2 linked regions of the Diceros bicornis minor genome follow. Each later gene encodes a partner of the first gene's protein in a complex. Links are inferred from orthologs where the notes say so. Each region holds a gene or a part of one and is shown on either strand. Other genes may lie near its edges.

Region 1 (8,080 bases):
TATATTACACTTTTATTCATTTCCAATTTGATGGAATGACTTCATCCCATTTTCGAGAATGTTTGCAATCTTTTTTGCCATTTCAAGGCTTTCAAGAAATGAAGTTGGAAATACTCTTAGATGAATTGACTTTCACGAATCTTAAAAATTTTTAAAAATTGGACAAAATAGAAAACACACCAACATAGTTGAAAGACTTTGAAACTACATGAATGCTTCAGTGATAAATCTTAACCATTCACAACAGCTTCAGCAAAGGGTTCCTTAGGTGAATGGAGCCATTAGTCGCTGCTGTGGGGTTGGAGAGTTTTCAAATACATGGAGGGTCTTCTGAGGTGGATGCAAAACCAGGGGCAGCACTGGCACCTGGCCCCCACCCCTGTAGATAGGAGTTGAGTTTGGGGTGGGAGACAAGAGCTAACTTCTGAGGATGATGTTACCTGAAGACTTTGTAGGGGGCAGGGGCTCTGAGTGGGGAGAAGGGGCTCAGTTCCAAGTTCTTGGTGCCAAGGGCATAGGACACAGATCTAATCTCCAGGGTTAGTGGTCGTTCAGGGCCACATGTTCCTCGTGAAATGATGGCTGGGGTGGGGTGGGGAGGAGCCTGGCATAAGGAGGAAAAGAATAAGCTCCGAGCCAAGCATCCTGGATTCCAACAAGGGCGCCACCACTTACTAACTGGGGGAGCCTGGCTTCGTGCCTGAAAGTCTAGGAGCTTCAGCTCCCTCAAATGTAAAATGGGAATAACTAGGTACTCTGCTGGGACCTTATAAGCATTAGATAACGCAAGATAAATTACCCAGGTCAGTGCGTCGCACACAGCAGGACCTCAACAAATTTTATTATTCCCGCCTCCCCAGCCCGCACCCCTAGGGAAGAATCTAGGCGCTTGAGCGGGACCTGGCTGGTACAGCGGGGTAGGGACCCCTTCCCTCCTGGAGCCTCCTCCTCTCATTTGCTGCCCTCGCTGTGTCCCTATTAGGCGCATTAGCCAGCCCGGCGGCTCCGGTTACAGACGTCTGAATGACAAAGTGCCTCCATTACCGGCGCGGCCCGCCAGCCGACCCGCCGGGACGCGCTCTGGTTTCAGCACTCTCTCGCCCCGGCCCAGGAAGAAACGCGGACCGCCGCGGTGCGCAAAGCCAGCCCATAGACAGCAGCCCCGCGGCGAGGCGGAGGCGAGAGCCGCAGGCGCTGCGGGCGGCAGGTTCTGCACCGGGTCCATCTTCCCGAGCCCCCAGGCCCTCCACGCCCAGCTCCCCTCCTTCCACGCCTCTTCTCTACTCGGACGACACTCTCTCCAGCCCCGGTCCGGAGCCCACGCCCTCGCCCCTCGCGGATCCGCACTGCTGGCCGCTCCAGTCCCCCTCCCCCGCCCCTCCCCGGCCGAGAAGCATCTCCAACCCATGGCGTTAGTCAGCAAACGTGCCCGCAGTCACTCGCAAATCCCCGGACGAAGCCACAGGTACCGACAGCTCCAGGGAACCGGGACTGAGCTTCGGGGATGGGGCCACCCCAGCCCCCATATTCCACCGCCCGCCTGACTCAGCGGATGGTGTCCAGCACCACCACCCCCCCCACGCCGAGAAACGCAGCTCTTATCCGGAGCTGGGACGCCAGGCTGCCCCTAAGAGGTACGGGGAGTACCAAGCTGGGACTCAGGTGCGGGGCAGTCTAGCTAGGACTCTGGCTCAACTTGCTTGTAGGATCTTGGCCAAGTCGTTTAAAGTCTCAGATCCTCAGTCTCCTTATCTGTAAAAACGGGGATTTGGGAGCGCAATGCTCAGATGAGAGAAGAAGATGGCAAGGAGGGTGAGGACACTTCCTCCATTGCCAAACCTTCCAGGGCACTTGGTTCATGGCCACACACCAGGTCACATATCCTGGAAATCTGGTCAGAACTACCAGGCGGACTTAGATGCTTACGAGGACCCGCGGTCCTTTGCCGAGACAGAATCCGAGGCGTCCGAGCGCCTCCGTCTGGTTCGGTGCCCAGCATCTTCCACCGAGAGTTGGGCAGGGCGCGGGGAGAATCCCGACCGCTGGAGCGGAGCGAACCTTGGGGACAGCGCTCGGGCCGTTTAACTTAATGCGGGATCCTCGCGGGGGGCGGCGCGCGGCCCCAGTCGCGCCGGCAGCAGCGGATGGCACAGCCCTCGCGCCGCAGCGCCCCCTGCGGGCCGCCTCCGCCTGCGCGACCCGGGGCTGCGAGCTGCCGGGACGTTCCCAGCCTTGCGCGTCCCGGCGCTCTGCACTCCGCAATGTGGCGGCGGCCAGACCGGGTCGGATGACGCCCGCTCCATCCCTTCCGGTCCGCGGCCCTGCTTCAGACTGCGAGAATAAGCGCGTCGGAGGAGCCCGCCGGTCGTGGGGGAACCGAGGGAGCGGGTTCGCCCCGACGAAGCGGGCGCTCTCTTCCCAACCTCGGATCCCCAGCCGCAATTTCCCGACTGGGCGAGGTTGCGAGAAAGAGCGCGCGACAGACGCGGGAAACATCCGTGCCTCTACTCTCTCTTCTCGTCCCACTGTCCCTTGGTGGGCAGGCGAGTCCCCGACCACTTTAGAGTCCTCTCTCCCTTCTCCGTCTTCTTTCCTTTTGCTTCCATCTCTCTACCTCCCTTGCCGTCGGCCCTTTTCTACCCTCCTTAATCAATTTCTACCGTCTCTTCAACTGACCCTCGCTCCTCGAACCTTTCCCTCCCACGCCCCTCCCCCCCATTGTCTGGCCGGTCCGCATTGTCCGATGCCCGGTCCCCTCTGCCTCCAGTCCCTCCAACCTCCTCTCTCATTGTTGCATCCCCTCGTCTCTGGTTCCCCGCCCCAGCCCCGCTCGCCCCTCACATCTCTAGTCCCCGTCCCATTCCTCCTCCTTTTCTAGCCTGGGTTCCTTCCCTTGACCCTTCAGAGATCAAGATGCTCAGGGAGAAAGTCGCCTCGAGATCCCGGCATTCAAGCGCCCTCTTCCGAAGAACTCAGACATCCGAGAGCCCCAGGACCCCCTCCTAAGAGACTCCTCCCAGCTCCTCCACACACACCGCGGTACCGGAGGACCTGCATCCGTGCGCCCCTCTTGCTCGCATCTCTACCCTGGATCTCAGGGTCGCCTCTGCGCTCTGAGAACCCTAGACGCTCCTCCGTGGATCCTAACGGGAGCTCCTCTCCCGCCATCCATCCCCAGCATCTGGGACCTCAACGCTCTGTTTTGTTTTCCCTCGGGGAAACCTGAACCATCGGGGTCCCGGTTCCAGGAAAGGGAGCGGGCTCCCTTTCGGCTAGTACTCACCCCCAAGAGCAGAAGCAGCAGCCGCAGGCGCGGCCCGTCCATGGCGCAGCCGGCGGCACCTGCCCCCATCGCCTGCTTCCCGCGGCAGCGCTCGGCTTCCAGTTCAGTCCGCTCCGCGGACGGATAGGGCTGCGCGGCGCTGCACTCCAGCACCCGCCCCCCGGAGCTGGCCGAGGCTCCGCTCACTCTGGCTGCGGGCGGGAGGGGCTGAGAGAAGCCAGTGCGGCGGCCCCGCCTCCTCCCCATCCAGCCGGCCCACCCCCGGAACCGCGCCCGCCCGCCACGCCGCCTCAGGGAGGGGAGAGGAGGCGAAGGGAGGGCATGCGGGGAGCCGCGCCCGCGCGCCCCGCTGCCGCTTCTCCACGCCCTGGCCTTCAGAGCCGCTCCCCAACCCTGGCCCGGTACCCAGTGCCCGGCCCGCGCTACTGCGCGTCCGTCCCGGATGCTGCGGCTTGGGGACCAGGGCGTCCCCACTGCGGCTCCCCGCAGGGTTCACTCTCTTACCCGTCTTCCTCTGCCTCTGGCTTCAGCTTCTTCCCCGGTCTCCTGCTCTCTACCCAGCCTTTATCGTCAAGAATGCCCACTGCCCGCCCTGCCCTTCATCTTCTGGTCCATACCCGACCCCTACCCCTGCCCCTTCCCAGGGTGAGGGGGTTCTCCGTGCAAAGGCCTAGCGGGAGGGGAACGGTAGCAGGTGGCTTGACCTCGACCATGTGCAGCCGGGACATTCAAGGTGGCGTCCATCCCGACATCATTTGAATTCTCAAAAGATGGGTTTGAAGGGGTCACAGGTGTGCACACAAAACACAAGAATACACGCTCTCTCAAGCTCACATATATATGTCCTTACGCACCACATATGCCCACACCATCCTCAGGCGCTCGTGTGGATCTGCACGTTCTACACGTGCGTGTGCACCTCCACACTCAGGCACACATGCACACTCATTGCACGTGGTCATAACATTCAAACGCACACTCACCTACATATCCACATATGTACATGTGCAGTCACTTCCACACAAGCTCTCACATGTATAGTCTTTCACACAAGTGCACACACATTCGTGAACACACGCACATTTACACCCATACACAAACACAAAGGTGTATCCTCAACAATATAGCCTTCACCAGACTGTGGGTGTTTCCATTGGCTTATGATTCCATTGGTGTTCAGTGAAGGTCTGTAGAAGGGAATAAATGGAAAAGTGGTTGGATGGACTCACATCCATGTACTATGTAGGCGTCCCCAGGACCACACTTACCGCGCCCTAGAAACCTTGGCAGGTCTGATCATAGGCCCCTGCAACCCAGGGAGTGTGCCACCAGTCTTTTGGTGTGAACCACCACCTCTGCCACCAGGATGCTCACCGCCTGCCTGTCCTCAGCCATTCCTGGTTCCCGGATGTGAAGGCCCTGGAGCACAGAGCAGTGGGGAGCAAGTCTACAAAGCCCATCCTCGCCCCCTGATCTTGGCTATGTGTGGACCTCAGTTTCTACTTTGAAAAAAATAGTAGTACCCTCCCACATTTCAGGAAGAAGGGGGAGATCAAGTGTACAGGTGAAGAGGGCATGCTGGCTTTGGTAGGTGACTTCCTAGATCAGCTGAAGCTAACTCATTCATTCACGAACGAAAAAATCTACCCTGTGAATTTCTTTCTTGTGTAACCAACAAAGTCCAGGGGACAGCCCCAGAAAGGACACGTAGACATTACTGTGGCCTTGAACATGAATGTGGATGAGCCGATACTCCATGGCTGGGCATGAGGCCAGGCAGCTAGCCCCTCCTCAGAAGTCCCTGAGGATTCCTTCCTCCTGGACAGGGACCTCTAACCCTCTAAGCTGTCTCCTCCTCCCGCTGCTTTTATGGCCCTGCCTTTCCTCTCAGCTGAATTCATGGAAGGCAGGAAGGGGCGGCAGTACTAACAGCAGCATCGAGCTGCTTACTACCAAGGGTATCAACAGTGTGGCATTAATTTAAATACTTCTGTTATTAATTTATGATCCTGGTTACTATTATTGCCAAGGTTATCCATCTCAACACGATTTACTATGACCCACACTACCATGGCTGGGCCCGTGTTATTAATAATTTCCATGGTCCTGATCTTTTTTTTTTTTTTTTTTTTTTTTTTTGTGAGGAGATCAGCCCTGAGCTAACATCCGCCAATCCTCCTCTTTTTTTGCTGAGGAAGACGGCCCTGGGCTAACATCGGTGCCCATCTTCCTCCACTTTATATGGGACGCCGCCACAGCATGGCTTACCAAGCAGTACTTCGGTGCGCGCCCGGGATCCGAACCAGCGAACCCCGGGCCGCCGCAGCGGAGCGCGCGCACTTAACCGCTTGCGCCACCGGGCCGGCCCCATGGTCCTGATCTTTTAAGCCTTACTCGAACAATTACAAACAGCAATTGTTACTATTATTAGCAGTATTTCTATGATTAAGCCCCAGCACAAGACCACGATGTAATGCTGAGTGCTGGTGGGAGAGAGGCTGCGAAGTGCAGAGAGGAAAGAGCACTGAACTGAGAGTCAGACAGGCCTGGCCATAAACGCCTACACCCCCCACCCCGCCCCACATCTCTTACTCCTGTGTAGTCTTAGGCAGGTTATGTGATCTCTCTCAGCCTCCATTTCCTCTTCTATAAAATGGGAATTCAAAAAAAGATCCTAGGGGCCAGCCCCATGGTGTAGTGGTTAAGTGCCATGCTCCAGTGCTGGCGGCCCGGGTTCAGATCCTGGGCGCGCACCGATGCACTGCTTGTCAGGCCATGCTGTGGCGGCGTCCCATATAAAGTGGAGGAAGATGGGCACAGATGTTAGCCTGGGGCCAGTCTTCCTGAGCAAAAAGAGGAGGATTGGCATGGATGTTAGCTCAGGGCTGATCTTCCTCACACACACACACAAAAAAGATCCTAAATAGAATGAGCGTGGTGAAGAACAAAAGAGACAATGGTGTTCAGCACAAGGAGAGACTCAATCCACTTTTACTTGTTCAACACCTACTTCTTGAGCAGCTACTATGTGCCACACACTGTTCCAGGTGCTGGGGATACAGCAGCGAACAGTAGCAGCTGCCCTCGTGGAGCTGATGTCCTAGTGTGTTAGTTATTTGATGTGAAGGGCTATTTTATAATGTGACATATATACCAAAACCAGCACCACTGTGACCCCCATCGCCATGACGCCAGCATCACTGCCAGAACCCCCACAGCTACCAATCCCACAGTCATCCCCATCACTACTGTGACTCCCACAGCATCATCCCCACCATCCCCATCATCCTACGACCGCCACGGCCGTGGCCACCACCACCACCTGCCTTCCAACATCTGCACCAGCAGCAGCAGCAGGGATTCCTGTTCCTAAGGGATGCTGGATACTTGGGTCCATCCCTTGTCCTTGGAACGATATCAGAGGCCATATGGAGCCACTGCTGCCTGAGCCTACCTCCCTAATGGTCATGGCCCCAAATTGAGTGTCCTTCAAAAATTTCTCCCTGACCCAGCCCCTCTCCCCTAATCCTCAGCACCTGCAGCCACAGCTGTGGGATAGGGCATGGGGAAGCGGCCCTTAGGAGCTGACCAGCAAGTGGGACCAGACAGGCAGCGCCCAGGGGCAGAAGTTTTCATTGAAGGGTCCCCCAGAACCATCTCCCATAACAGAGCTATACAGATAGAGGGTCCCTCCTTCCACCACTCACACACCAAGGCTTCCTGGACCTAATAGTGACCCCAAGGTAAAGGGTGGAGAATAGCAACGCAGTTCTACATGGGGCTGGGAAGGTCATGGTGGGTCAAACTGCACCTTCAGGAGTAGAAATGGGAGGGGTTTGCTCCTCTCCTATTCATCCCACCACAGCTCCGTCACCCTGCCCCTCCAGGAAGGCAAGCTCCTAACACACACTCCCTGTCCTCCTGCTCCACTGGGACCCTTCACCTCTGCAGAACATTGCTCACAGCTCCCGGTACCCGTCCCCAGCAGTCACTGGGGAACCAGCCTGCAGCCCCAACGCACTTCCGAGCAGAAATGAGAGAGGAGAACTCAGGTTTATTGAGATCCACACAATTCTCTTCCTTAATCCCCACTGCAAAACCATGAAGGAGGCACTGAGATCACCATTCTACAGATGAAGAGACTGAGGCTTGAAGAGGTTAAGTCACTTGTCCAAGGACCCCCGGAAGGCAGCCATGGTACCGTAAGTGGCCACTGTCCCGCACAAGGCCGTCCACAGCCACGCTTCTCCATGCTAACCCCCATGTTACAGTCACTCCTCCCCTCCATCCCAGCCCATCCAGCCTTCACCCCAAGGAGTTGGGGAGATAGAACCTGCAGGTCAGAGGGACTGCACTGTGCCCTTCAATGCTACCACTCAGATGCCCCCTCCCGACACGCATTCACAGAATCCGGGCTTGGGGCTGGGGTAGGATGGGTGGAGGCAAGCAGGGCATCACCTCTGCCTTCTGATCCAAAGCGTGATTTCGAAGTTCCCTTAGCGAGCACTCATTTCTCCTGCTTTGGGAGAATCACCTCCCCTGTCCTCCAGTTCTAATGTCCAACCAGAGAAGGGGTGAAGGGAGATGAGCGGGAGACAACAACATCTGAGGGAGGTGGGCAGGAGGTGCCGGGCCTCCCCCAGCTGTATCCCATCTACCCTGGGCGGGCGGCCAGGCAAGGTAAGTGAAACCTGCTGCCCCCATTAGGAGCCTGCTCAGTGGCTTTGAAGCGTGATGTGGTGATTACCTCCAATCGGACTCCTCTGGGCCTTGAGGGGGGCCTGACCAATGAGGGGG
Region 2 (7,767 bases), about 25 Mb from region 1:
GGCAGACAAGGTGGGAATGATGGCAGCGTGGCCAAGGGCCCTGTCAGCACTTTGGTATGGGGTCAGGAAGGGGGTGTGGGGTGGTAGGGGTGGGGTGCGTACGTCCGTCCGTCTGTCCATCCTGCCTGCCTCCCGGACCCAGGACTCAGTCCTTCCACTCTTTTTTAATGGTGAGGTTCCACTCCCAGGACAGGTGATCAGTCTTGTCATCATCTGTGAAACGCGACTTGATGTTGTAGCTGCCTCGAGCCAGCATGCCCTTGGGCGCCTCCTCCATGGGAGTCAGGAACTCGTACTCCTCTGCCCGGGGCCCGTAGCTCCCCACCATGTAGTCAGTCTTGTCAACTGTAATGCAGAGAATGCACTGGTCATCAGTGTGGCTCACCTCTGCCCGGGCAGCTGCCAGGGAGCAGAGCTGGGCCGAGGGCACACACTGCCTTTCCTGTCTCCCTCCTGGTCCCTAAGCCCTTTGCCCTGAGCCAGCCAAGAGGCAGCCATCTCTCTCTTAGAGGCTGGGGTCTGGTGCCCACCCTCACTCACTCTTGACGCCTTTCCTGTATGTGTGCTGGATGTACTTCATGCCGGACACAATTTCTCGGTTCACCTGCAGGGAGGGACCCCAGGCAAGGCTCAGCCGGGCTCTCCAGCCCTGGCCCCTCCCGGCCCCTGCCACAGCCTCTGCCTTACCCGGAAAGAGATTTTTATCCGGTATTCCACACCTTCCTTCAGCACAAATGACTGCTTCTTGAAGCTCTCCAGATCACCTGTATTTGGGAGGAACACCACACTAGGGGGCTCAGCCAGCAGAAGCCACTCACTTCGGCATCTCCCATCTGTGACTGCCCGCTGCCATCTGGGCCCTGGCGGGATGCCCCTTCTACTCCCCGTCTCCCCTGCCCCTGCACACATAGCCCTTGGCACCCCCAACCTAGGACCCAGATCACTCCAAAACCAGCAACTTCAAAGACCGCTTGGCTGCACTTCTTGTTCTCCCCACGAGAGGGTGGCAGAGCTCCAGGAAACTATATTTAGAGAAAGCAGGGGTGGGGGTGCCAGGCAGCCCCAGCCAGAGACCTCAAAGGTGCCACTCACCTGTCAGGTCAAGCTCCAGGGGGCCCGGGGCGGTGCTACACACCAGGGTCAGGCGGGTCACGACTACATTGGGGACGTTGGGGTCTGTGGAGTGACAGCAGGTTAGTGCTCCACCCCCTGGGCCTCCCACACACCCATAACTTGCCACCAGGGGGCAGCAGCAGCAGAAACCCAGAAGAGTGACAAGGTATCCCTCTGTGTGACCCCAACCCACTCACCAGCAGACACAGCCACACGGCCCAGCAGGGCCTCCTTGTACTTGCGCAGACTCTCATCGTCCTTGTCCAGCTCCTGAATCTCCTGGATGCTCTTCTGGGCCGGGGGCTTGTAGTTGACCGAGTGCTCGTCTTCCTCGTTCTCAGCTGCAATCTGTGCCAGCTGCTCTGCTGTGGGCTCCTGCTCGGCCATGCTCACCTCTCGCTGGGTCTGGGACACCTGTGGGCCAGGCGGGCTGTGGCAGCCTGGAGGGACCCACAATGTCTCCCCCCTCCCGCCCCTCAGCGGGCCCTGCAGCCAGCTCAGGCGGGCTGTGTCGAAGGCTGCTCCACAGGTGGCCAGGCCCCGTATCTCGGCCCAAAGAGAGGTGCACCTTCTAGAGCAGGAGGGCAGCCTGCAGCCAGAACCCAGACATAGGCTCCTGAACCCAGCGGGGCTATACTTGCCTCCTCGCCCTGCCCATCTCAGGGGACCCACTGGGGCAGTCTGAGAGGACCCCAGCCTAGGTACAGTACCCAGGACTAAATGGAACCCGCAGCCTGCTCCTCTGGGAGACCAGGCACACCTCTGCCGCCCCCAAGGAGGAGGCAGGACCCCAGCCCTGCCGGCAGACCCCCAACTGTCACCTCTGAAGTCCTGCTGCTCTTTCTGAGCTGCTCAGGCCCTCGCCCCACGGGACTCCTCCCACTGGGTCAGGGAGACCCGGCTCCCTAGGACCAGGCATGCTCCTTCTGCCCTGTCCTAGCCAGGAAGCAAGGCCTCTGTGCAGGACACAGGTCAGTTCTGCCTCATCCTGCAAACACAGGGCTCTCCTACAGCTCAGATGATGAGGCCAGCCTGACTCCCACATGTAGGTCCCAAAAGGGCACAGGGGATCCTAAGAGTCTGCCAACGTTCTCTCCAATCGTGAGAGTCTGTGACCTACAATTTGGGAACTGCTGCAGCAGCTCCAGTATTTTCAAGACCCTTTTTCTGGATCCTGGCCCAGGCGAGTCTGGAGCAGCACTCTCAGAGCGGGGAGCACTGCATGAGGCAGCCGCTGGGCTTCCTTCAGCTAAAAATCCCATTGCAAGCCCAGAGACTTCCTGAGGAGTGTCTGGAACCCACTCAGATAGGTCCGGGTGGTGTAGGAGATGGGTCAAGGCCCAGCCCACCCCAGGCCTCAGATTGCCCAGGAAAGATTACCAAAGCCTTTCCCCACAGGCCCAGGCTGGCAGCTGGGACTCGCCCGAGGACCAGATCTCACAAAGGGCCGCAGGGATCCCCGAGCCGCCGGCCGCCCCAGGCGGGGTGGGGCCTGCCCGCTTTCCCAGGCCTCCCTGCCGCTTCCTCTGGAATTCCTCTACAAGGCTCACGCCCTAATGTCACTAAGTGCGGCCGCAGGCGACAGGATCCTCTAGGGCGATCGCCGCGGCCGCACTTCCGCAGGGCCCCGCAATCTGGGCCGGGCGCGGCGCGGGGTGGGGCGCGGTGCCCCGGAGAAGGGGACGTCAGCCTAGCTCCGGTCGGCGCACGCCGGCGGGGAGGGGCCGCGGGGTACGGGCGGCGGCCACAAAGGAGGCCTAAGCCCCCGGTCCGCGCCCCTGGCCCGCGCCGCACGTGGGCCCGCCCTGCGGCCCGGCCTCCGCCGGCTGTCACCGCCGCCCCAGCCCCGCGCAGACCCCACGGCAGGCGGAGCGAACAAAGGCGCGGCCCCCGCGCCTCCCTGCCGCTGCCGCTGCCGCCGCCCCGCCTGCCGCCGCCGTCCCGCCGTGGCGCTCACCGGAGGTTCGACTGCGCAGCTCTCGCGCTCCCTCCCGCACGGAACGACGAACGTCGCCGCCCCGCCCGCGCGCTCCCGGCCGGCCACTTCCGGGGTCACGCGACTTCCGCTCGCGCCACACGCCAGGGCGCATGCGCGGGCGCGCGGGTCTGCCGGGAGCGTGCCGGTGCCATCTTGCCGGGCTGGTGTGGTGGGTGCGTCCCGTGTGGGCGGCGGGCGGGCTCGGGACGCCTAGGAAGTCCGGTCCCAGTTGGTAGTTTTGCGCCTTTTGCTGCAAGCATTTTCCGGTCCCGGCCGTCCCCACGGGTCAGCCCGCAAAGTAGAGGGACGGGCGGTGTCACGGTCTTGCTCACGCCCCACGTACGTCGTGGCATTTCCGCGAGGTGCTGTAAGGCACGTCTGTAAAGCTCTGGAACATCTCCGCGTGCACGGCAGGGTCCACCCGAGGCCAGCCGACGGCCGCCCTCCCACCTGAGCCGGCCTCTCGCGTCCTCTCGCCATCGTGACCCTCTCGGAAGTTAACGCTGGACCTTCTTCGATCAGCTCACGTTAACCACTCAAAGAACGCTCCGTGGGTGGTGTTAAAAAACAATTCCAACCGAGAAAATTTGAAGATCTAATTGGCTTTATTCAAGGATTTATGGATCAGGCAGCATCCCATTTAATAAACAGGCCTTCCGAAGGGTTGTACAAAAGAAGATTTTTATAGGAAGAAACTAGGTGGGACAAGAAAGTAATTAGCAAAAGGAAAGAAAAGATGCTTTCAGGCAAGATCACCTTTCTTTGGGGGAAGGGCGGCAGGGGTCTTAGCAGGCAGATGACCTCACTATTGTTGATCAGGAATTTCCCGACTGGTAAGGTTACATTCCTGGGAGGGGGTGAAACTGCAATTAAGTCTTGGTTTCCGGTCCTGGGGGCAAGTGACTCCACCTTGGGCCTGTAGTTTTTTTATTTTTTACCGGTGTCCAGGTCACCCCTGGCCTGAGCCTGGGCTCTGGGGCCTCTCTTGGTATCTTTGTAACCTGTCCAAGGCTATGCTGGTGGCCCTCTGCCCCACTGTCCCCTCCTGAAGAACACGGCTGGATGGCCAGAAGCATACACAGGCTCAGAGCTGCCCCAGGCCTGCAGCCCTCAGGCTTTTTTTTTCCAGACTAAATCAACATTCTTGGGGGCTCAGCACATTTGGTTTCCTTGCCATGAGCATCACTTCAGGGAAAAAACATGTCACTGCGGAATTCCTTGACTCTTGTGACTTTGGAAGCTCTTGGCACAGATGACATGATTTTCTCAGTCTGCTATTCATCACAGACCCAAGAATTCTCCGTTTGTGTGCTCCAATTGTTGGCAGACTTCAGACATTTGCCCACATGCTAAATCAAGGAACATTTTGTAGCACCAGGAGGGGCCTCATAAAATGGGGCTGGTCTGGCCCGGGGCTGGTCTGCCTGAAGGCCGGAGTGCCCAAACCCCAGCCCAGCACTCCTCTTTCTTCTTGTGGGGTCCAAGCCCCTAACGGCTCCACACCTCCAGCCTGTAGCATTTGTAGAATTGTAATAAGGTGGTAATGAGTTCATGCCACCTATAATGACTGTTAAGCTCCACAAAGGCAGGGAACCCAGGCCAAGACAGAAGTTGTCACAAACACACATATACACACAACTGCATTGTACGTAGGAGGGCATTTTCAGAAATTGAACTTAATGCAAAATACTGACTTTGGTATCTTCTGGAAATTTCTCAATTTTTGAGGAATATTTGCTTATTTTCTGTAACTAGGAGTTGCACTGTCAGCTTTATGTGTACAAAGTTTAGTTGGCGGAAAGCAGAGCATTCTAATTGGGTATTCACTATGTTGCTTCTGAGGCTTCTTGTCATTGTAAACTTGGAATACCACAGCGGACTGTCCCCCTGCACTGCTGTCTGAGTCGCTGGTTGAGGAAAAGTTGGCTTTCGGATAACCCAAGTGCTTTTAAAAAAACCAAACTCTATTATAGAAAATTTCAAACATACATGTTATTAGTAATCTATTACTGTGTAAAAATGTACCCTGAAATTCAGCAGCTTAAAACAACAACCGTTTATTATTTTGCATGGTTTCTGAGGATCAGGGAGCAGCTTAGCGGGTTGGTTCTGGCTCCAGGTCTCTCATGAGGTTGTGGTCCCTGAAGATGTGCTGGAACTCCAAGCTAATGCAGGCACTGTGGGCAGGAGGCTCAGTTCCTTGTGGGCTGTTGGCTGGAGGATTTAGTTCTCTGCCACCTACGGCTCTGGCCACTCCGTAGGGCTGCTCACAACAGGGCAGCTGGCTTTCCCCATGTGAGGCCTCAGAGACAGACAAACAGACAGACAGACAGAGACAGAAAGAACAAGAGCCAGGGAAACAGCAAGCACTGAAGATGAAGCCAAGGTGTCTTACAATCTAACCTTAGCAGTGCCCTAGCTCCGCCCTACTAGATTGGTCACACAAACCTCTCCTGGCACCGGGTGAGAGGGGACACAGGGGCCTGAGGACCAGGAGGCAGCGGCACCGTTGGGGTTGTCTTGAAGGCGGCCCACCACATGCACCAAAATACTGTAGAAAGAATGGTATTATGAACCCAAGTGGACAGACCATCCAGCCTCAACGGGTATCAGCTCGTGACTGATCTTGTTTCATCTGTGCCTCACCTCCCCCCACGCAGCAAGTTTGAAGCAACCCCCAGAAGTCATTTCCACCATAAATATTTCAGTATGTATTTATTTCTAAGGAAAAGGATCCTTTTTTAGGGTGAACAATAGCCATAGCACCATTATCCCGCTGGGTCCTTGTCTCTACTGCTATATAACAAACCACTCCAAATGCGGTGGCTTGGAGCAGCGAGTCACGATTCTCTCTCCTATTCTGGGGGCTGCGTGAACTCAGCTGGGGCTCTCATGCAGTGTCGGTCAGATTGAGTCGTGCTGCAGCCAAATGAAGGTGGCCGGCCAAGAGGGCCCTGTCATACAGCACTCCCCTGGGGCTGTCAACTTGAGGACCTCCAGCACAACGCCCATGGGATCTTGGCAGCTGGACTCCAAGAGCAAGTTCTGAGAGGCTTGTTCACCGGGCTTCATGTGAGCCCACTCAGAAGTGCCAGAACCAAACTTGTGTGGCTCTCTGCTGGCCAAGCCCATGAGTTGGGCCAGCCCAAGTTCAAAGTCAGAGAGTTAGACTCCACCTTTCAGTGGGAAGAGAAGGAAAGACTGTGTGGCCATCTTTATTCTAGCCACAAGGACCCACGTTCCTCTCCTGTAAAACACAACACTTCCCAGGATCCCCCAAAGTCTCATCCCGTTGTGGCTTCAGCTCAGGACCCAGGTGAGGGCGAGGTTGGGGGTCTGGCTTCTCTTAACCTGAAAATTGAGGCTAAAGACCCAGAAGACCTGCCCAACAGTGCCCGACAGACCATCCTGTCTCACCCCCTGACCTACAGAATCCGTGAACGTAACAAAATGGTGCTTGTTTTACACCAAGTTTGGGAGGTAATTCTTATAGAGCAGAAAGTACCTGGGATACTAACCAAGAAAAGTAACACAAGTCCTAAATATCAGTAAAGATCCAACCAGTATTTTCCTGATTTTATTGTGAGTTCTTTTACTTTTTGTTTGAATCAGAATCAAATTGTTTCACACATTGCAGTTAGTTGGTATGTGTCTTAATCAATAGGATTGTCCTCTCTTTGCTCCATGTAGTGTCCTGTTGAAGGACCGGGGTCACTTGTCCTGTAGAGTCTCCCACGGCAGGAACTCGATTGGCAATGCCGCACCCCAGCACCCCAGCTTTGACACTGAGACGGGGTACCTGAGGGCTACTGTAAATACTCCATAAGAACATGGTTACCCTCTGACCTTGTTCCCAACACAGACACAGAAGAAAAGAAGTGAATAAATAACCTCAATCTCTGTTAGATGTATTTGTTGAGCTCAAATGCTTGCTTCACAGCCCAGGCATCATTGTATCTTGTTAATTTGCTGTTTTCTTTCTTTCTTTTTTTAAAAAATATTTATTTGTTTATTTATTTAGTGTGTGTGTGTGAGGCAGATCAGCCATGAGCTAACATCTGTTGCCAATCCTCCTCTTTTTGCTGAGGAAGACTGGCCCTGAGCTAACATCTGTGCCCATGGTCCTCCACTTTATATGGGATGCCACCACAGCATGGCCTGACAAGCCGTGTGTCGGTGTGCGCCCGGGATCCAAACCCGGGCCGCCAGCAGCAGAGTGCACACACTTAACCGCTATGCCACGGGGTCGGCCCCTAATTTGCTGTTTTCTTATTTAACCAGAGGGGTGACTCAGTGGTCACAAGGATTTATGAGCTTGTCTTACCGAGGAAAAAGAATGCCTGTAAGGAAGTTACGACCAGCAGATAACTAGCCCCCAGCTGCCACTGATGCCAAGAAGTCTAGTTGCGCAAGGTCTTATCTGAAGTGAAAGAAACACAGATTTCCCCTTTGTTTCCCTGAAACTCCTTCTCCCAAGCCCCTTAGCCCTATAAAGGCCCCCTGCTTCCTTCTTTTGTTAAGGCAGATCTGACAGAACCTATTCTCTGGTCTTCTCATTTTGGCCAATTTTATTTATTTATTTATTTTTTCCCCCCCAAAGCCCCAGTAGACAGTTGTATGTCATAGCTGCACATCCTTCTAGTTGCTGTATGTGGGACGCGGCCTCAGCGTGGCCA

Evidence for each region.
Region 2: the proteins of NGFR (region 1) and ARHGDIA are in contact, whole or in part, in an NMR structure (PDB 8X8T), measured with the Homo sapiens proteins. The link is inferred for Diceros bicornis minor from reciprocal best matches to the Homo sapiens genes NGFR and ARHGDIA. Residues at the interface, in NP_002498.1 of Homo sapiens: Arg274, Trp275, Ser277, Cys278, Lys279, Gln280, Lys282, Gln283, Gly284, Ala285, Ser287, Arg288, Pro289, Val290, Asn291, Gln292, Thr293, Pro294, Pro295, Pro296, Glu299, Lys300, Leu301, Ile307, Ser308, Val309, Gln312, Ser313, Asp316, Gln317; in NP_001172006.1 of Homo sapiens: Ala8, Glu9, Leu11, Ala12, Gln13, Ile14, Ala15, Ala16, Glu17, Asn18, Glu19, Glu20, Asp21, Glu22, Val25, Pro30, Ala31, Gln32, Lys33, Ile35, Gln36, Glu37, Ile38, Gln39, Glu40, Leu41, Asp42, Lys43, Asp44, Asp45.

The regions. Positions count from the first base shown.
Region 1 is NC_080757.1:36,665,821-36,673,900, forward strand, and holds the start of NGFR (tumor necrosis factor receptor superfamily member 16), read right to left. Parts: upstream 3,418-8,080; 5' UTR 3,353-3,417; coding exon 3,284-3,352; intron 1-3,283. UniProt on the Homo sapiens protein: Low affinity receptor which can bind to NGF, BDNF, NTF3, and NTF4. Forms a heterodimeric receptor with SORCS2 that binds the precursor forms of NGF, BDNF and NTF3 with high affinity, and has much lower affinity for mature NGF and BDNF.
Region 2 is NC_080757.1:61,197,448-61,205,214, forward strand, and holds the start of ARHGDIA (rho GDP-dissociation inhibitor 1), read right to left. Parts: upstream 3,170-7,767; 5' UTR 3,071-3,169; intron 2,731-3,070; exon of another isoform or gene 2,494-2,730; intron 1,528-2,493; 5' UTR 1,501-1,527; coding exon 1,311-1,500; intron 1,177-1,310; coding exon 1,093-1,176; intron 765-1,092; coding exon 688-764; intron 605-687; coding exon 541-604; intron 346-540; coding exon 146-345; 3' UTR 103-145; exon of another isoform or gene 1-102. UniProt on the Homo sapiens protein: Controls Rho proteins homeostasis. Regulates the GDP/GTP exchange reaction of the Rho proteins by inhibiting the dissociation of GDP from them, and the subsequent binding of GTP to them.